Linked DNA regions of Oreochromis niloticus. The protein of the gene in region 2 purifies or fractionates together with the protein of the main gene of each other region. This does not show direct contact. Links are inferred from orthologs where the notes say so. Each region holds a gene or a part of one and is shown on either strand. Other genes may lie near its edges.

Region 1 (7,098 bases), on a different chromosome or scaffold from region 2:
GAATACATGAATTGAACATGCTGATCTTTGCTTATGTGTGGGTTCTTTATTTTATTTATTTTTTTACCATTAAATGATGTTGGTAGTGTTGATTTGCTGCATGCTTTCTTTCAGTTTCTTCTCTGCACAATGCCACATCTACTGAAGAGCTCAAGAATCAAACAACAATGCCGATAAATTAAAACTGATTTAGTAGCAGGTAGAAAAACTAGTTTATCCAAGTTTTATCTATTCTACATGTGGATCAGGATACAAGCTCTCCAATGCACCAGTGCTGTGCATTGAATGCTCCGCGTGGCCAAACGGGCTGCTGCTTGCAAACGGGTCTCTTCACTGTGTTTGCGATCGAGAGCATTTCTCCATTTACTCCAACACCTCCTCACCAGGAGGCGAGAGCAGGCACGCTGAGCCAAAGCTGAAGGCGAAACACAAAAGAACAAAAAATAAAAATGTGTTAAGAGATAGCAAAATAATGATGCTTCAAGAATGGAAACAAAGCTGCGTGGGTATTCTATAATGACCTTGTGTTTCTGTCTTGGTGTGGCGATAGGACACATATCTCATCCACTGATGCAAAGCTCTTCTTTTCAATCTGGAGATAAAATGAAACGCAGCTCTGGATTCTTTCTCTTTCTGGCAAGAAGCAGCCGTATGCATCTCTTTCCACTGAAGCCAAGCCTTCAATACAAAATATATCAGGTGACCCATCACCAGAGAGAACACACAGGAGTAATGTACCTCAAGGTTCACTACTCTTTGGTTTTCTTTATACATTTGACCCCGGGAGCATGTCATCCATGGGCATAGTGTAAGTTGACAACCACCTCAGCTTAGATAAGCATTTCAATTCAGTTGTCCAGTCTTATTTTATGCTGCTTAGGCTCAGTAAGAGTTAGTTTTCACAGGATTGTAGTATAACTGAGCTATTTTCCCATTCCTGATTTCTTTTTATTTTTGCACATTTATCTCACTTAAATGTTTCAGATCAAATGTTAATATTAGATAAAAATAATTGAGGTTCATATGAAATGCACTTTTAAGTAATGATTTCATTTATCAAGGACAGAAATAATCCAAACCTACATGGCCCTGTGTGAAAAAGCAACTGCCCCCTAAATCTAATGACTGCTTGTGCCACCCCTGACAACAAGAACTAAAATCAGGTGTTTGCAATAACTGACAATGAGTCTTTCACATCCCTGTGGAGGAATCTTGGCCAACTCTTCTTTGCAGAATTATTTTAATTCAGTCGCACTGGTGCGTTTTGGATCATTGTTCTGCTGCATAGCCCAAGTGCGTCTGAATTTCAGAGCACGAACTGATGGCTGGACATTCTCGTTCAGGATTTTCTGGTAGAGAGCAGAATTCATGGTCCATCACAGAGTCACCACCATGTTTGACACCGTGTAATGTTTCTTTTATGAAATACTGTGTGAGTTTTATGCCAGATGTAACGGGACTCAAACCTTCCAAAGACAGATGGCGGTATGACGTAAATCTACTTGACTTCGTCTGACAGGTTCCATTTCCATTATTTCTTGATTCAACAGGTCTGCCTTGAATCAGGCCGAGGTGTGGCTATCAAAATTGAACTCAGCTTTCTAAAGAATGTGGTTAATCACAGTTAATTTAAAATTCAATAATAACAGATGAAATTATCACTTTATTATTGTTATTATTATTTTTTGTATTTCCTTGGGTCATCTTTATCTAATTAGTTTGACAGATTGGAACAGCCTAACTGAGTAGATCAGATTGCAGAGCTTACTATCATCTTTTAAATCTCTCTTAAAGACATACTTTGATGATCAGGTTTTTACTGTGCCTCTGCTTTGAAGTGAATGTTGTCCTTCATAATTTTTTCTTGGTGATAATTTTTTTATTTAGTCTAATTTTTCATAAATGCTTTTAATTTACATGTTTATAATTTTAGTTGTCTTTATCTTTATAAAGATAAGATAAAATTCGTCTTTATCTACTGCCTTTGAACTTCTTCTACTGTCAGCGTTCCTACACTTTATGTTGTTTCACTTTTAATTCTTCTTAAACATTTTGTAGTTTGTCACTTGGTTTTGAAAGGTGCAGTATTGAAAAAAAGTTATTCTTGTTATTTTTATTATTACTATTAATAATAATAATATTAACATGTGATTCACAGGGGTGTTCGATCATGCCCTTACCCTTTTCTTTAAGGTTAGCGCCCTCTGTTTCTGTGCTTGAACCTCCAAAACGTGAAGGTCTCGACGGTGCTGTAATCTAGTCTGCCACAAGCTCCACACTGAGCTGCAAAACAAAAACAATGGTAAAATCAATATTATGGTAAAAATCATAATGCTACAAGTTTTCATTTGATAACACAAAAATCTCACTGCATAGCTGAGAGCCTGTACTGCTCAAGAGCTGATTCCAGCCTTCTGCTCTTCAGTCTTCTCATCTCTGTGAAAACCTCCCATCTGTCCAACAGCAGACGCATCCGCTGGTTGTCAGCTGATGATAGAAACAAAGTGGGTGATGACACATCAGTGAATTATAAAATCTGACAAACCCCCCCCCCAACATTAGGCTTGAATGGTAAAAGTCACACCAAATGACTGAGCCTTTTGCTGTTGCATCTTCTTTTCCCTCTGCAAACACACAAACATTCGCCAGCTGCGGAGAGTCCAGTTGCACAGGTAATACCTGAAATAAAAGCAGCATGAACACATGAACAGACTTCAGTGAATCAACTATAAAAGTCTTCTATAATGTACTGTAATGACCTGTAGTGACAGTCTGCTCGCATGTTCAGACTCCACTCCCTCCTGGATGACCACCACTCATCTCTCCATCCTTCAAAGGTTCTTCTCAGTACCACTCTGTTATAGTGCGACCTGGAAAACACTGGAATTAGTGAGCAGGTAGGAAAACGAGGGCAACCAAATGGTAAACTTGAAAATGCTTTCAATTTCCAAACAAATGAAACACGTTACTTTGCTTCATGAGGAAGAACTCGGCCAAAGGTGTTCTGTATCCATATCTTCAGAAACTTTCTTGCAAGGTGCCTGCAGAAGTTAAAAGAATGGAGACTTAATTTTCAAGAAGACAGTAACATGATAACAGTGGGTCAAGGAATAGTCTCAGCACCTTATTCTCAGCTCCTTGAGTCTTCCACCTTTGTTCCAGGTGTATCCAACTCTGTAAGCGACCTTTCTGATGTGAACTTTGCGCACTTGTTTTGCTTCACCACGAGATCTGACATAGTTTAAACGGGGTCTTACTGGATCCGAGTTTCCGCCGATACTTTGCATTTTTCAAGCCGCTATTATACAGAGCACCGAATCGCATCACTTCTCAAATACAAGCATCAAAGCATCCGCATTTTACACTTTGAAGGCTGTTGTAGCTTACATGATAAAATTACCTTAATTTATCCTCACGTTAAAACTCTTTACAAAGTGCCGCGCGTTTGTTTTTCCTTATCACGTGACCACTTGGTGTCTTCGATACACAGTTGTCAACAACAACAACCTCTGCTGCCGGTCTGTGGAGACCACACTAAACTGGTTGTGGTAGTTATAAGAGTCACGGTCTGCTTAATAAACTTTTCAATATGGGGTGGTGTTTTTCATACACCTCCCTCTACAACAGTTTAAACTCTGAAATGTTTACTTCACACAGGAAGAACGTACTTAAGGTCCCCTCAGTTTAACGACGATGACACGAAATGTCAGTCGTGGACTGCCCGCGAGGACGGGGTCTTTATTTTCATAAGGACCATCAGGAGACCGGCGGTGGAGAATCACAAATCAAGCGAATCCTGAGACAAAATATGGCTGTCTCTAATAATGCCTGTCACGTGCCTTTTACCGTAGTATAAAAAAAATCACTACAAAGCAATTTACATTTTCAATATTTTATATACATACGTATAAACCAATTTATTTTGAAATTAATTTTCATATATTGGTTTAGATTTTAAAATAATTATCGCCAACGCACACCTGCCAATTTAAATTTTTACAAAGGCGCGCTGGGCACGGCGTAATCTTTGCCAGGACCTTCTTAAAGCGGTGATCAGAGGAAAATTGCTGCTACGACTTAGAAAACAGAGAAAGAGAAGACTATTATTTGAGATTTCACCGGTTCCGTGTGATTTAATTTGTTGTTTTGAACCAGTCTTATTGTGTTAGGTTACCCCTCTATAGTGTGTGCTCCCTGAAATCACAGCGACAACTCTACCGGCTCACGATTTGGTGCTCGCTGGGTGGGCATTTATCCCCAGTCCCCCAGCTAGTTAGCTAGCTCAAAGTGCTAGGCTAGGCTAGCCAGCTAACTAACGTGATCAGCTCGGCCGTTAGCGACCGGCATTCCGCACAGCATTCAAACTGAGTAAGTTTGTCTTTTGCCAAAATTTGACTTGCAAGTCGGTTGTCTACACAACTTTTGTGCCACGAATTCGCCTTATGGTTAACTGTGTGGGACGCTACCATCGTTTGGCTAACCCTGTGTCAATCTCTTGGCTAACTAGTAGCGTTTATTTCCTAAAGCTGAAATGATGAGGAATGTTTTGTATTAAAATGTTTACATGTCTTTAACTCGCTGGATCCTTTCATTGCAGAACGGCTTCGTTTACAACTCAAATGCGATACCCAATTAGTAAATTGATGTAAGCGCTTTGTAATATAATGACCTGTCAGTTCTCAGCTGCTGTCAATTAAATTGCTAATTAGCCAGCAACAACCTGAGACTCTAGAGTTGTTTTTTAACTGCCCGGTGCAGGTAAGCTTCATGAGAGTTCAAGTTTTTCTTCACGGCAACTTTTCTGTAATCTTGTTTTCTCGTGCTGCCTAGTTTAAGATGGCAATACATCTGATATATTTTGCAGCAACAGAAGGAAGCAGGGTTTTTTTTGTTTTAATCTTCGGAACATGCGTCCTTTCATTTGAAGTAATTGGCCTTTAAGACTGTATTTAGTGGCCGTAGTCGAGTATAATTGACTTGTAAATGTTAACTTGTCATCCACAGGTGTAGAGTCATTGGTGGCTGAGACACTGTCTGCTCTGTCTGAAATCCATCATGGAGAAAGATGCCTGTGTAGAGCCTAAGAATGGTGACGCTGCTGTCGACCAGCCTAAGCCGGCAGCCACAGCTCCTTACAGATACACTAAGGTGACAAAATGCCAGCTGTGTCATTGTTTATCAAATTTAGATGTTGCTGTGAATTAAACTAGACTATCAATTTATTTGCAGGAGGAGCTTTTGGAAATCAAAGCGCTGCCAATCTCCAATGAAAGGCCTGAATGTCTCTCTGAGAAATATGACAGGTATGAATTTGTGTAAAAGTCACATTGGGTAATACTGGACAGGAGGTTATGCTTTTCAAATGAGAAAGCATGGGTGAATTCTAGTAAGGAAAAGTACTAGTATTTCTCTATGCTGTGAAATACTGATTTTTGGCACAGATCAACAGTTCTTCAATTGTATTTGTTGCTGGAACTGAAGTGTATGTGATCAAAAGTTACTTTGATTAAACAAGGTTAAGCAGAAGAGTTTCTATACAAATATGTTCACTGTCTTGAAACTAAAATTTGCATAAAGTTTGTAATAATCATTGACATAGTTTAACTGTCCAGAAGACTTGCTCCTGCTTTTTGGAATTCACATGCACTTCCAGCTTGTCTCTTGCTCGGAGCTTATTTAAATTCCTTGGGGTAATTCTTAAACAACAGTCAAAGATTTGTTCAGATGTCTGCTTGAGAAGCAAAACAAACGCTTGCACTAGAAGACTTGTATCTTTGTCCAATAGCTGTTGGAGCCAGGAACAGTAGCTATGACTATATGAGAAGTGGGCTCATTAAAGGGTGGGTCAAGCGGTTTTGGGTGGGGGGGTGGGGGGGTATTTTTAATCCTAAAAAAGACCTCTTTACCCCTTCAAAGCCTACTAGGAGTTGCCCTCGAAGATCTTTTCTGAACTGAGCAGTTTGTCATTATTTTTTAGATCTGCTTATGTTTGCATCCGTTAGTGAGGTAAGGTGTGAGAGTGGTCTCTGCCTAGGCAGCTACCCTTGCTAAAACCTGCAAACAATTTTAGTTGTCATCCAATCACATCTTTATTGATGGATACTGAGGTGTCAGAACTCGTCATTAAGTGTAATGTCTTTATGGGAGAGAGTTAATGAATGACTTCAGATTTTGAAGACATGTACTTAAAATGTGATTTGTCTCAACTGTTGGAAAAATTGTTTATAGTAGTCTGTCATCAGAGTTAAACACTGCTAGTGCAACAGTATCAATTAGTTTATTATTTTGAGGATCTGATTTTATTGCACCCTCTTTTTGGGTTGTATTCTGTGCTCACAGCATAAAGGTTGAAATGGATGGCCTGACCTGTGTATTGTATTTTTGCCCATGCCTATCTTTACTTTACTCATCACAGTAGTCTTGTAATACTCAAATATAAATGTTAAACTTTCAAGATGCAGGAATTGTATCTTTCATTGTTGCTCTTTATTTATTTTTTCCTAAACAGGATCCCAGTTGAGGCTGTAGTTGTCTCTTTATTTGAAATTTATGGGTGGCTTTTTTGTTTGTTTGTTTTAAACAGTGATGGTGTCTGGGACCCTGAGAAATGGCATGCCTCACTATATCCCACTTCAGAGCGAAGCTCACCTGTGGAAGGTTTTAAGAAGGACTACATGGATGACAGAGTTCCATTAAAACGAAGAATCCCAGGTAAATAATTACTGATGGTAGATGGTTATCCTTTCATCTTTGCGTTTCATAACAATGTTGTCTAGAAACTTAACTGTGCTCTGATCAATGAATGTTTAGGATTTTAGGTTCCAGTCTTGCACAAGATTTCTAAACTGCTGCAGTGGAATTGTTCATGTAGTCTATGTACTCCATAAAACAGTTGTTGTTGTTGTTATTATTATTATTATTATTATTATTATTTGGGGTGTGTGTTTCCCTCCCTGTTTTTTAGATCCCCGTGAGCGGTTAAAGGAGGATGACCTGGATGTAGTACTGAGCCCACAGCGACGTAGCTTTGGAGGTGGATGTCAGGGCAATGCTGCCCTTCATATCCGTCGCCCAATCAGCCCCTTGGAAAACAAAGAA
Region 2 (7,338 bases):
GGTGGTTCTGGAAGCTGCCGCCGCCCCTGTCTGACTCCGCTGTCCTACAGGTGCAGGTGGAGCTGGGGCAGCTGATGGTGGGGCCTGCACTGCCTGTTCCAGGGTGGGACTCTTTCTTATAGAATCCAGCTGGGGACTAGTGCGTCCTGCAAACAAACAAACAGCAATTAAAAGCTGTTCCAAAGTAGCTGCTCTTATGGGAAAAAAAAAATTTCACATTAAAAGTGTTGAGTGAAAAACATACTGTCCATTAAAGTCCTGCTTGTGCAGGACTTCACAGTGTAAGCATTTTACTTGTATTTGTAATAGATTTGTGTCCAATGTAAAACATTTTTGGAGTATTTGTGAGTAAAAGTAACATTCAGCCCAATCTACTTAAAAATTTAATACACAGTAGCAGTGAAGATGATTCTGTCAGAGCTGAATGATAAGCTTCAGCTACTCACAGACTTCCATGTTACTGGCAGTGGATGACACAGATGTTCACTGACAAAAAGGTAAAAATCGAATCTGTACATTTAGAGAGAAAATTTGACATGTGTCTTTTATACATGACCTCTCCTTTGAACACTTTAAAAAAGGTCCAGGCTTCACCAGTTTATTAGAAGTATGACGCAAAACTGTCTTTTCTGTTTCCAGTTCAAAACACAATAGGGACCAGGTGTGTAGCAGGAAACTCAAAGCAGTGTGCAGCTGTGATCTATTCAAATGAGCAGGAATCAGGTGTTGCTCCAAATTTGCTTGAGAAACAGATGTTTAGCTTACAATAATATTGTTTAATTGTCTGAGGTCACTACGTAGCATTTAGACAGATATGAGCAATGAATGATTTAACTTCATCTGCTACATTTCACACCATCCATAAAAGAGGGTTTGGACAGCCTTGAACAACCTAATGCTTTTTAATGTGGCTGACTTGCTTATTTCACACAGCTCCTTACCAACTGCTCCAGTAGATCCAAACTGTTGAGAACCAATGGGTGCAACACCAAACTGGCTGTATGATGGGGCAGGAGCCCTGCTGAAAGGTGCATAGGACCCAGGAGCCTGGAATGATGGAGGTGCTGCACCACTTGAGGATCCAATTGATGACTAGACAAACAAATATGCATCCAGTTGAAAACATTACAAGATTTTTAAACATAGCTGTTAACTATGACTGAAAATACTAAGATACAATTATAAAAGGTCTGATGCCTACATTTCAAAACAACAAATAACGCAAAACGAATGTGAAACTGTAGTTAGGACACAAAGCTGTTAATAAACCAATGCACGTCTTAGAAAGTGTTATCTATCTAGAAGATAGATAAGATACCATATCTAGAAGGGAAAAAAAGCCAGACTCTACTTTGAATACACTTTATTTTAACCGACTCCTTTGTTTGTGAATCTGGTTTTCAGGGCTTCTACAACAAGTAGCAGCCCTTTATTTTTTTTGTTGCTTCCTGTATTTTCTAATTGGCTTCTTTCATTTTCTTAAAATGGGCAATAATTAAAAACATTGATAATCACTTATTTTCTGTAACAAAGAAAGAAAAAGCAGTAATACAATAGTTGTCACTTTTCTACCTGAATTTCTTTATAGGTGATCCTTGTAATACAGGTGTTAGAAATAATGTTAACGATGGCCCTACAGCAAAGTTTCTTTAAAGCAAGCTTTGCAACTCACAGAATGCCTCTAGGCAATTATTTCAGTAATAATTCTGAATAGTTATCTCAATTGCTATTATTTAATTATTATAAAATCACACACACACAAACTCCACATACATAATAATTAGTCAGTGTCTCTCCCTTATAATGCCTCAATAAAGCCATGCCTGTGCAACCATGAGCCAGAATACAAGAGCCCTAAAGAAAAGCCTTTACACAGCTGTTTTATAGTAATGGAATGCACGCCAACTGACTTACTTGAACTATAGCAGGGTCCTGCGGCAGGGCACTGGTGGCTTTTGGTGGCTCACAAACCGTTAGGTCTTTAATATCACTTCCTCGGAAGATGATGTACTCAAAGACCTCATCCCGAGGAGGAATAGGCCTGTCAGTGGGCCGATCCTCAGTGCCAAAGGAGCGCACTGTAGGGAAAATTCACAGGTTAATTTACACGACTTTACTTTTTTTGTATTATTAAGGAAGAGAATATCCTTGCGTTAAGAACAGACACTGTTGACTTCACATTACCTGTCAATGTTAGAACTGAATATTATGAATTTGCGTTGGAATACAGACGAAAGAAAACAGACCCTTCAAGTTATATCAATTTTTGTTAACCACATTATTCAACATAATAAACTCCACACAATATGAGCACTTGAGATGAAGTTATTACTCTTCCCATACGCACAGCCCACCAGGTCTAAGCGATACTGTCAGTCAAAGTATTATAATCAGAGTTTCTAAAACGCATGTTAAAAAATAAACACTAAAAAGAGCCAATAAGCCGCAACTAGTGCTTTAACAAGGTATGCCTGGTGGTAAGTATGTGTCACTTGGTGCACAGCATTTGACTTTACCACAATTACAACGTAAACAAAGGACTACAGCGCTTAACTATAGCGCCACTTAGCTCTGTTGGCTAACTAAAAAGCTAACCAACAAAGCTAAATACGCTAAAAAATACTGTTTTCCTTCGCTTAACACTTTTACGCTCTTTGAGTCTTCTCTGCGTGCCTTAACTTACCTTTAGCGAGAGCTACAGTCGAGTTTTCTGTGTCAATCGTGTACAAAATTCCTTCATAGCGGATCTCGGCCTTGGAGATGAGGCTAATTTTGCTGCCGAGGTACGGTGTCCCTCCTCCGCTCATCTTCGTCCTTTAACTTTATTTACACACGTACTTCCAAAGAAAACGTTTTGTGTCACACGAGACGTCGGATGCGTTATTTTCAGACCTGCAGTTCTCAGACTACATAACATATATCGTCAAACGACACTGAATCTCACTCGCCCGCTCGCAACTGATCTCTACCACGACATGGCCGTTTTCATTTTCCTTCCCCTGCCGCAAAGGATATTGGGAGATAGGTAGCGGCCTAGTCAACTAAAGTCGCCTCCTTTTCCTCTTCCGTCCCTTCCACTGTTGCCTTTGCTTAAAAATAGAAACGAATGATGTGACAAATATATTTTTAGCTGTACTAACATTTTTGATGCAGTTTGGACTTTTATTTTGTAATTATCATTATAATATTTCCTCAAAGGGACTAACTAAGTCACTAAATAAGGATACTTAATACAGGTTTGAGATTTAGCCACAAAAAATCTCGCGATATTACACGAGATTACATCCAGAGAAGGTTTAGAGCAGAAAATTTCGCAGCCATTAAACAGTCTAAATTTTTTACGTGTCTCCCACAGCTCTCATGACGCTGTCCCTGCAAGGCACTAATTTTAAATAAAAAATAATAACAACGGTTATTTTCATTTTAGTGTGAATGTTTTTAGGCAGAGGCTTCTGAGCAGTTATAGTTAGGCTAACTCAAACTAAATACTAATTGTGAAAACATTTTTAGTTAACCACAAATAAGTAAATAACTAAATAACTAGATTTCTGAAAATAATCAGAATAAAATAGCTAATATAAAATAAAAAACAAACAAACAAACAAAAAAACCCAAAGGAAATGTCTTTAGCTTTAGCGTTTGCTATTATGCCAATAAAACTAAATAGAATAGACTAAATAGAACTTACATAAACTAAAGTCAAAATATTTAGAAAACAGACAATATTAACTCATCAAAATGTTATTCCTTGGCCAAACAAATTCATAGTAATGTCGTGGTGATGTAATGTTGCAGTGTTGTGATTTATATTAAAAAATAATGCTTTCATTGAAGTTATTTAACGTTACTTATTGTGTGTTTTGCCTTGTTTTGCCAGAACATAAACTGTAGCTATAACTGTACAAAATGTACAAACATTGCAAAAAATGATAAGAAAAAAACTCCATAATTATTGCTAATAATATTATTTTTTTTAGTATTTTACTTTAAATATTACTGTACTTTTTACTAATATTAATGTACTGTACTTAATACAATATACAACTTATTACAATCTTTCAACATACAACAATCAAATACAGCTACCATAAAGTTTTTAAAATTATTATTGTCATTGTTGTTGTTATTTTAACTGCTATAAAAAAGTATTCCCAATTATTCCTGATCAAAATCTCGTCGTCAGAATAGACCAGTGTATTATTCTTTTCTCATAATGCCATTTCATTTCAACCCTGCACGGCCTTGCTATGTTGAGCCAGATTGAGAAATCTCATATTTATTATTAATATTTATTATCTTATTTTAAGACATTTTAAGCTATTTTTTGTATGTTGGATTAAAGACATTTTAATTTAATTTAATACTTCATATTTTTATTTTGTCATATTTTACCTAATTGTATTTTTTTCATATTAGTTATTGCCACATTTCCTTTTATTTGATTTAAGATACAATCCTAATGATTTAGGCTATTATTTTACAGATTGTGTTAACTTCATTTTTAACTGCTGTAAAAAAGTAATTTACTAACTGTATGGATAATAAATGATATATTTCCCATCTGACCTTTTGCAAAAGATGCACAGACAAAGGGAAAAAACAATATCAAAATCAGACCTAATAATTATATAACTTCTGAATAAATGCTTTGTTTCAGATCTATTTTATGTATTCATTAACTTAGTAGCTTTATGTACATTATAACTGTCTTATATCGTTTTAAAATAATCTTTGCTTATTTCTTGAACATTTTTTTCTCATCTATATATGATTTTCTTTAAATATGGTCACAGCTCCTCATATTTTACTTTGGGATGGCGGTGTAACTGCACGGTACTTAGTATGATTACTAATTAATACTCCATGAAGGTAACACATAATAAACAGGATACAATAATCACAGACTTACGGCTACACCTAGGACGCCCCTTCCTCCATTTATACCCCCCTTGTTTAATGACGTCAGATCCATTCCCACAATGCCTAGTAACACGCAGGCGCATTGTAAAAAAATAGAAGACGGCTATCTGTGACCAGAGATGGCGGGCGCCTCCGACCCCCTGGAAGATATGCTCTTTTCGGAGGTGGATGAAAAAGCTGTGAGCGACCTAGTGGGCTCATTGGAGTCACAGCTTGCTGGACAAAGCAACCCGGCTGGTAAAGCAGACGAAAACGGAGGCGCTGGCTCTGTGGCCCCCTCTAACCATCACTTAGGAAAAACGCTACCAGCTCCAGTGAGCACCACAACACTAGAACAACAACAACAACAACAAGGACGCCGAAATAAAACTGAGATGCGCCAGGAGATCAACTCTAAAGACGTTAGCCCGGATAAGACTGTCACATCTCCTTCACCGGGCTGCAGCCCTTCTTTTGGCGAGCCTTCCACCACTTCGGGTGCCTGTGTGAGCGCCACTAGCAGCGGCTCGCAATCACATGGAGCATCCATCACAACACTGACTGCATCTGGTGTGTCAACTTTGGCATCTTCGCCGCCAGCCAGCATCAGCACCACTACATCCAGCCGGGGCTCTAAAGTTACCGTGGGCACAGGCGAGACGTCGACGGGAGCAACCCCGCCGAGAAAACGCATAACGACGCCGCGGAGGAGCGCTTCGGCGCGGATAAAGAGTTTGAACGGCGCAGCTGTAACAACGCGGAGGAACAGCAACACGGCGGTGGTCGACAACGTTAGCCCAGTGGATACGAGTGCAAGTACACCAAACTGTGGACGACCCGTCACAACCTCTATTAACACTTCGACGTTCACCTTATCCAACGCGAGCCTGCCTGTGGGTCAGTCGGCTATTGCTCTCGACAGGGGGACTCCTACTATTGCTTTGCATAGACTCCCGAGTCATATTGTTGCCAGTATAGCCCAGAACGGCAACGGGACCAGTGTTTCGGCCTTGGTCCAGCAGGGTGCTCGTATAGGACCCGTTACCTCTTCAGCTTCCCCGGGGAACCAAACCAAAATGGTCACAGACACTGGGGCTTCCAAAACAGACGACTGTCAGTCCAAAATTGTAATGTTAACCCAGTCTAGCGGTGTCAACTCTGTAGTAAATACTGTTTCCACTTCCTCTCCTCCTCTTCCTCCTCCTTCTTCTACTTCTTCTTCGTCTATTGTCACACCACCAACAACTACTACAGCTGCAGCAACAACAACAATAACAATAACTCAGCCTCTGAGCTCCATCACACCTGCTGCGTGTGTTACAGGGATGGCAACTATTTCAGCATGTGGAGCTGGTCAGACCACATCAGTGACCACCACTATTACTATGGTTAGGCCAACAGCTCCCTCTCCAACACCTGCTGTGGCTACATCTGCACAGTCGCAACCCCGTCCTGGACTTACAGCACCACAAAGGATTGTAACCCCCCAACTGATTGTCAGACCGCCTCAGCAGCAGACCACCATTCAGCTGCCCCCTGGGTTTACCATCCCACAAGGTAAGGTTAGCAGGAGGGCTAACAACCAAGTCAGAGGATCCTGGTTGTGGTTGTTAAAAGGGCTCAGTGTGTGTTGGACTCTCCCATAATAGAAGATTGTGTGTGACATCCTCCGGATTTTCCCTGGCTCAAAATAAGCCTTTGGGCATGAATAATCTACATATATGTATGGCAAGAAGTGTTGTACCTTACATAACAGAAGTTTGTGGATTTTTCATGTTATTTCTGATCATTTACTAAATAAAACTGTGTTTTATGTTTGATTAAATGTTTAAGTAAAACATTTTCATTACAGTCCTGGTGATTTTCATTTACACAACGGTCAAAATATCTTTTTTTTGTAAACAGGAAAAACCCTGATTTTCTTGTTTGGTTTGTTTGTTTGTAATTGGGGAAAAAATGAGAAAACTGAGAGGAAAAAGACAGAAATCAAGGTATTTATACAGATAGATGCAATAAGCACACACACCTTGTGTTTGTGGTAAATCTAGAGCAAAAAACATCAGTTTAAATGTTTATTTATGCAGGATAATAATAGCACACTGTGAAGATGAGTAGAATCACAAAAGACCTCTAAGGAAACTTTGGGAGGCACGGAGAAATGCTTTGGGCAGCTCCAGTGTGCAGACAGTAGCCACTGATGCTTTGAGACAGCAATATGTTGTCAAAAAATATTTGAGTAGATATTGGTTTTTTTTTATGTAGCTAACTTTTGTTATTACAACAACAATTCAGTGGGCCAGGATTCCAGTAGTTCAAATTATAGCTTACCCAATAGATGAGCCATATTTGTAGTCCTAATTTAGCTGTTATATTTAAAACATTGTAATCTCCATAGAAGCTCATATTCTGTAATTGTAAAAGGGCAGGTAATAACAGAGG
Region 3 (7,169 bases), on a different chromosome or scaffold from region 2:
CCGTGCTCAGCTCCATGAGTTCATCGGCGAAGGTGTTGTCGACCCCACGGTCAGCCAGGAAGTCCATCAGATGGTCATACAGGGCCTGAGAAACAGTACCAGTAAGTAAGCAACCTTGAGCACAGCGCCACTTTCAGTGACCGTTATAATTGAGCTGTTGCTGTGTGTACTGCCTCGGCTCTCACCCAGTCCAAAGAGTCTGTGTTGAGTGTGTAGCTCGTCTCCTTCCACTCTGAATCTCCCTGTGGCTGAAAACTGACCTCTCGAATGGCAAAGATGTCGCTCTCCTCTTCTCCCTCACCGTGGCTTATCTACGAAATACAAATGCCTCATATTCATTTCACTATTGCGCACACTACTGCTGCTATCGGCAATATTAGACATTCGTTTTATTTGACTTTACCTCATCTTCAGGGAAATGGCAGTCGAACACCAGGGAATGTTTTGCAGCCTGCTTTGTCACTTCAACAACAAAGTTGGGTGTTGATACAATCTCCGGCTGCAAAAAAGGGGTAAAAAGCTTAATACACAAAATGTTGAGGTTAAAAACTTCAGTGTGTAAGCCAGTAGCCGCCTACGGTGCTGTGCAAGCCACCCTCGTTTCTTTAAGTGTTGTTAGGAAATTAGCAAATGGAGGAGCCGTTTATTGAAATGAGTGCAGACATATAAGAAAACAGTAAACAAATATGAAAACAGTGTATAAGACAAACTTAAGAGTTCATGCAGTTCTAACGAGTCTGAAAGTCAATATTTCGTCTTTATTCTTCAACTCAGCTTTTATCGCGTTTGACAAGCACGCTAACAGAGATGTTTTCCATCTCTTGGACTAACAAAATGCAGCCTCCACTGTGCTTTGCAGATGGTCGTAGCCTCTGTTTTCCCTCTCCTGACCTTTTCTGTACATACTATGATTTGAAAGGAAACCTTCACATTTAGATTCCTCACCAACGATCAATGGCTTCTTGAGAGGCAGCCTTTCACTGAGAACATTTCTGATGAGGTCTCAGTCACAGTAGATAAATGAACATCTCTTGTGTTCTCTGTCAAATCTTTGCTCTATTTTTTCATCCATTTCTTAAGGATTCAGCTTTCAGATACTCTTCATCTGCTGTAGATAGTTTAGGGCAGGGGTGTCCAACTCCAGGCCTCGAGAGCCAGTGATCCATCACAGCTGATTTAAATGGCTAAATGACCTCCTCAACATGTCTTGAAGTTCTCCAGAGGCCTGGTAATGAACTAATCATTTGATGCAGGATGATATCTAACACCTGCAGGACACCAGCCCTCGAGGCCTGGAGTTGGACACCCCTGGTTTAGGCCTACCACTTTTTGTCCAGTTTCCTCAGATTTTCTTAAAAGGCCATGTTGCACAACGTGCTGCAATGACAGCTCTTTGGGAATCAAAGTACAATGTTTAACCTGTCAAACTGTGTCCAACCATCGTTGGCGTATTTTTCACAGTTTCTACTAAAGAAATGTGAATAAATGTTTTTGTGACAGGCTGCTAGCAACAAAGAGCTTAAAGATACAATTTTAAGTTCTTTTCTAAATTGTCTGTTATGTGTAGACAACACTGATTCGTCCCTTGAGGGATATCTTTCCTAGGTGTCTTTGGTTATGCTTGAATAGTGTCTTCCAACCACTAGCTGTGCCTCACCTCCTCTTCTGCTGATTTCTGCTGTGTCTGTTCCACTTCTTCCTCAAAGTTGGGAGGAATGCTGTTGTTGATGTTGAATGTGACCGCGATTCTGTGAAGAGCAGAAATACCGTGAGCTTGTTTCACATGCCACACCGGCCACGTTTATCCAATCATTTTGGCAGACTTACTTTTCTCCAGAAACACTTCTTGTGAGTTTAGCCTCTGTGCCATTCATCTCCAGCTCCCATCCTCCCGACACCTTAGGAAGACTTTTGTTTTTCTGGATCTTCTTCTCTTCTTTGATTTCATCAGACAGGAAGTCACCAAAAGCTTTGTCACCTGAACAGAGAGTTTATGATTTCATCATGAGACGTGATGCACAGTTTGTTTAAAGGTTTACTTCTGACAATAAAATGAAAAACAAGGCTGATTCTAACATTTTACACAAAACACGAGTGCTTGTCAGTGCGCCCCAGGGTGGCTGTGGCTACAGTGTAGCTTGCCATCACCAGTGTGTGAATGTGTGTGTGAATGGGTGGATGACTGGATATGTAAAGCGCTTTGGGGTCCTTAGGGACTAGTAAAGCGCTATATAAATACAGGCCATTTACCAATACTTGTAAGACTGCTGAAAATGAAAGAAATCTGTTTTGTGGCTGTCTAAAGATGTCTCGTTGGATATTATGAACAGTCCTAGACGTGTCACGTGTGCTGAATGATCAAAGGCTATTGGCAGGTTTCAGAGCCTTTTTCAGTGACAACCACTAATCACAGTTTAAGGTGAAAGACTCCTTACAGTCTGAAGATGCTGATATGAACTCAGTCTATAACGATCGTTAAACATCTTTTTTTATCCCTTTAAACTGTAAAGGACGTGTTGGTTCTGGCAATACGAGTTGTCTGATCCATCTAATGTTAAGTTTATTGGTCTCGTAAGCTGGCTGGCTTGTTTAAAGGAGTTTACACCAAACGTCACCTTCTGTGTGCAGTCCTCCACATCCACACGACATCGACGGACTCAACACCTTGGAGCTGAAGAGTTTGGGCCTGTATCCAGACGAGGCTCCGTTATTATTTAGCATCCAGAGAGACCGGGTGAAGGGCCGAGTTACTGCCGAACTCGGAGAGCGCAGTGCCGGGTAGCTGAGGGGCAGAACTCGCGCTGCGGAGGTGCTGGCTGAAGAAAGGCGAGCAGCTGCTCCCACCGCACGGACGACTGACTTTAGCATGATTGTACAAAAACACCTGTCACGACAGAATAAATGAGTTCCGTGCCGCACAGCTCACTGTGAACACCGGTTACCGACGCTGCTTCTAGAAGACGCTGACAGCACGTGTGGAAGGACACATTGACCCAGATACTCTTTGCCCCGGAAGTAATACTCTAAAAGCGAAAGACACGAAATAGCAATTTTAAATTCTACATCAAAAACTACACCGAATACGACAAAATATTATAATAGAAAAAATAAATAAGATATAACCTAATTAAAGTTATTTGGAAAAATTACGTGTGTGTTGTAAATGATTGTCTACACATCAGCGCCCCCTGTAGTTCAAATCAGCGATAGCAGACCGGCGCTGCTATCTGTTTAAATTGGGGTTTTTCATGTCGTTTGTTCTGCGGAGCTTTTTACAGTGTGGCTACAAATCTGAAACACCGCGGACTTTAATAATACCTTTGCCTTCACGCTGTGACACTAAAACAGAAACTCTTAAAAATACATATGTAAGGAGATTAAAGTGCAAAAATATCTGTGTGCAGGGGCCCGATTTAATAGGACTTTGCTCCAGAGTTAAACCCCGTTTTGGCTTAAAAACTGTCAGGATTTAATAAAAAATCCCAGCCTCAGTTCTTTTACTGAAAAGCTTGGAGGGGTTTCTTTTGATTGGTGTACCGTAGTGCATTTGTACTGTATTTTCAGAGCGTGTGTGTGTGTACAGACATGATCGACTGAGGCCCCTAACGACGGGGTTGCATCAGTCAAAGTAAAACATCGACACTTCGGTGCAATGAGGCTGATCAGTTGCATCATGTGAATCCCTCCCGCCAGCAGATGGAGCTGCTTTCCAGTCTATGTGAGCCTGTCTATAATTAAACGGCAGCAGGGGAGATCCTGTTTTTCTGAATTGACTAAATGAACATAGTCAAACGTTTTGAGACACTTCTCATTTCTGTTTTGCTACTAAAATGGGAAATAAGTCCATTGATTCATTGAAACATAAACGCAAATACATGAGGCAAAAACAGAGTTTGAGCAATTCTAATGAGCTTGAAAGTCTGAAATATTTGGTATGAACACTTTTATTCTTCAGCACAGCCTAAACTCTCTTAGACAAGTCTTGTCATTTCTTTGAGTAGTCTTCAGGAAGAGTCGTCCAGTTGCGTGCTTTTCTGTCCAGGTCTACTTTTACTGCATTGGTAGAGTGTTTGTGACCAATATCATGCTAAATAACAAACAAACTGCTCTTCAGATAGTATGGTGGGTCAAAATCATAACTCCATCATAACACAAGAGCCCCTGGCGGAAATGTCAGTTTTGGCATTTTCCGTTGATTCAAATAAAGAAATGGGAGCAAATGATATAGTAACATAGCGCCTAAAGATATGACATGTTGTATGTGTAGACAACACTGGCTTCTCCCCCGGAGTTATGCAAAGTGCTGGCTGTGTTAAGAGACTTGAATGATAATTTTTTTTAAAAACCCAGAATGTTCCTTTGAAAATGTTCAGGACTGAAAATGAGTGAAAAAGCATCCAGCATCCAAAGAAGAAGAGCTTAGTCTGGAGAACTATTGCTCCAAAGCTCTTAAAGAATTCCAAAGGTCATCTACTTGGAAGCAAAATGTTTTTAAAAATGAGGTGGCTCAAGACTTTCGCACAGTCCTTAAACCATGCTATGGCCATAACACAATAATACTAAACACGTTAGAACTGCGACTGACTTGTGCCGACTCAGGTGGATTTGTTTTTATTAGAATATGTAACAAACATGGGCATGTATTAGGATCAGATGATCCACGCTCATAGATGAGCCCTGGCAGGCGTGCATTCGTTACAATAAACTTCATGCAGATCAGAAATGGCTCAACTTTTGATAATTCTCTAAAGCATTCAGCGTTTGACTACAAAGTTAGAAACTGTATACTTTATTCAGGTTATATTTTACAGTCCTGAGTCCAATGTGTAAAAAAAAGACAAGAGGACGCTCCATCATCAACACAACGTCATTTACATTCTACAAAGCGTGACGGAGCCGAGTGATCAGATCGCTGAACAGATTCTCCGTGCACTGCACATGTCTGCTGTTAGCAGGTACGTCTGGCAACTGTGTGGGGATCTGCGCGACAAACAGCAATGAGCAGAACCTGGAGAGGAAGGCATGCTACTTCTCCTGACGTGCGTGTATTTGGGGAAGAGACGGTGACATGACTGCAGATGGGAAAAGGAGCATGCACGAGCTAACGAGGCTAGTGCTGTATAAGTGAAACCATGTCAGTGTGACACACTGCATTTGTTTTTCATGTTTTCTTGTGAATAAGGGAACAGCTGAAAGTAGAGTAAAACAAATCTACTTTGATTGCATAAAGAAACCCCTGTAAGACCACTTCATGTAAACCCAAAACAATCAGAGTGCTTTTCTTAGCTTCGGAAAAGCTCATATTTTGGACTCGCAGCCACTAATCCGTCTGCTGGAGCGTTTTGATGGCTATTTGGTAGCAATGAAGAAGAACAACATGGTGGAAAACAGCCCCATGCTGTGCTCCTCTGAGGTTACCTGTGCTGTATAAATGCATGCAACTACTGAAAGAATCAAAGCAAGACACTTCAAAGCAAACTGGCTTTTCAGGCCAACCGTGTGGCTAAATGATGACAAGAAGAAATTACAGCTCGTAAAATCGGAATGACAGTCCAGAGGAAGTCAAACTTCGATATGCAGACTTCTGCTTCAGTGACAGATGCCCAATGCTTGTCAACTGGGAGGTAGTGAAATCCAGAGTAGTTTACGACACAGCAAACGTTCTGCACCAACTTGCAATAAGTGTGTTTGTGGCAGGTGGCCTGTTTCTTTGTTGGTTAGCTCTTGTTGAGGTGGAGCTTGCGGCCAAAGTACTCGGGCGCTGCATCCAGCAGCCAGTCGGCATCGACCAAACAGAGGTCTCTCATGTAGCAGCGGGAGGTGTGCAGCAGCTCGTTGAAGACTACGTATGCCGGCTTGGCCTGGAAAAGGACGGAGGACGGGTGGATGGCCACGGGCTGGTGGGTGTCTAGAGCCAAGTAGCTGCCATCGGGCTGCAGCTCTGCAGCGTTGACAAACATCCCGTGGGCAAGGCAGCGGCGAACGCTCGCCGTGTCTGCTCCACACGATTCCAGTTTCAGGTTCAGCTGGGAAAACAACAAGACGTGACTTAGTACACAGGTCGCATGAGTTCACCGCAGAGATGCACAAAGACAGGTGTGCAGCATCGATCAAAGCAGGAAAACACTCATTCATCAACCGGCACTCGCTGTTTTCAAAATAGCCCTGAGGCGTTAGCCTGTGTGATGATGCACATTCATAATAATACTGACACTGTCAGAATTTACACATTGTGTTCACTTTACTTTCAAAAGCATGGATATTATTCTCTAATGAGCTGCATTAAATGTTAATAAATCCTCTGTAGTTGATCAGGATAATCAGCGATTCCTGGGAGAATCCCTCTGTGCTAGCAGAGGTTAGCAGATGTGTACCTTAAGGCAGATTTCTTTAAGTTGTGCCTGGACTTCTTTCACTAGACCCATGTTCCTGCTGTTGACAAAGTTCTCCCGACACCACTCCTACAACAGCAGAGATCACGTGACAGCTCAGCAGCATGATTTCATTTATGTATTTTCATTAGTTGTGTTCATCGTACCCACCTTGTTACCGCTGACTTTCTTGAACGCTCTGTAAATGTTTAGCAGTGTCATGTGGTCTCCTTCACTGGACATGAACTTCTTGCGCACTGCAAGCACGTCGTCCCGCCGGGCCGGAGGGTTGTACAGCACGGTGTCCACAGACAGCAGCGACACGATGCTCAAAATCTCCTCAGAACACGAGTAGTCCGGGGACAGCAGGATGGTCTGCGGTGTGGAGCAAACAGAGGGGTTATCTGCTTGTGAGCCGACACTTTGTCTTTGCTAAAAAAAAAAAGATCAGAGCAGAACCAGCAGGATTTACTTTGGCATATCTGGGCTCCAGAGGGAAGCTCGCCATCTTCTTTCCCAGAGTGGTGAGGAAAACCTGCCCGTCCTTCTTTTCCACAGCTCCCAACAGCTCCAAATGATCCACAGCAGAACGGATGGCCTCTGGTGTAAAATACAAAGCACTACTACAGCTAACTCTGCATCGCGTACCGGAGGACCAGAGGTAAATCCTGACTGACAGCATCTTACCTGGAGAAGGTTTGGACATGAAATCAAAATTTGTCACGTCTGGAATCCCCAGAGCCATGAGCTGCAGCATCACACCTGCCAAGTTACACCTGAGGGTAAGAAGCATCACAC

What was found.
Region 1: the proteins of lsm14ab (region 2) and eif4enif1 purify together in Homo sapiens (affinity purification with mass spectrometry; 3 studies listed by BioGRID and IntAct, with this or other methods). This does not show direct contact. The link is inferred for Oreochromis niloticus from reciprocal best matches to the Homo sapiens genes LSM14A and EIF4ENIF1.
Region 3: the proteins of lsm14ab (region 2) and c1qbp purify together in Homo sapiens (affinity purification with mass spectrometry; 3 studies listed by BioGRID and IntAct, with this or other methods). This does not show direct contact. The link is inferred for Oreochromis niloticus from reciprocal best matches to the Homo sapiens genes LSM14A and C1QBP.

What each region holds. Positions count from the first base shown.
Region 1 is NC_031970.2:16,090,763-16,097,860, forward strand, and holds the start of eif4enif1 (eukaryotic translation initiation factor 4E transporter), read left to right. Parts: upstream 1-4,008; 5' UTR 4,009-4,368; intron 4,369-4,620; exon of another isoform or gene 4,621-4,758; intron 4,759-4,904; exon of another isoform or gene 4,905-4,926; intron 4,927-5,004; 5' UTR 5,005-5,055; coding exon 5,056-5,148; intron 5,149-5,229; coding exon 5,230-5,303; intron 5,304-6,583; coding exon 6,584-6,711; intron 6,712-6,964; coding exon 6,965-7,098. Other genes in the region: protein SFI1 homolog, read right to left, coding at 68-138, 254-415, 522-678, 2,181-2,283, 2,370-2,487, 2,585-2,679, 2,760-2,870, 2,970-3,041 and 1 more. UniProt on the Homo sapiens protein: EIF4E-binding protein that regulates translation and stability of mRNAs in processing bodies (P-bodies). Plays a key role in P-bodies to coordinate the storage of translationally inactive mRNAs in the cytoplasm and prevent their degradation.
Region 2 is NC_031965.2:31,839,082-31,846,419, forward strand, and holds the start of lsm14ab (LSM14A mRNA processing body assembly factor b), read right to left. Parts: upstream 3,023-7,338; 5' UTR 2,808-3,022; coding exon 2,684-2,807; intron 2,079-2,683; coding exon 1,915-2,078; intron 1,093-1,914; coding exon 942-1,092; intron 147-941; coding exon 1-146. Other genes in the region: transcription initiation factor TFIID subunit 4, read left to right, coding at 5,040-6,456. UniProt on the Homo sapiens protein: Essential for formation of P-bodies, cytoplasmic structures that provide storage sites for translationally inactive mRNAs and protect them from degradation. Acts as a repressor of mRNA translation. May play a role in mitotic spindle assembly.
Region 3 is NC_031975.2:990,715-997,883, forward strand, and holds the start of c1qbp (complement component 1 Q subcomponent-binding protein, mitochondrial), read right to left. Parts: upstream 3,016-7,169; 5' UTR 2,869-3,015; coding exon 2,616-2,868; intron 1,979-2,615; coding exon 1,828-1,978; intron 1,749-1,827; coding exon 1,658-1,748; intron 500-1,657; coding exon 404-499; intron 312-403; coding exon 186-311; intron 86-185; coding exon 1-85. Other genes in the region: ATP-dependent RNA helicase DHX33, read right to left, coding at 5,718-6,026, 6,375-6,461, 6,543-6,746, 6,844-6,971, 7,059-7,147.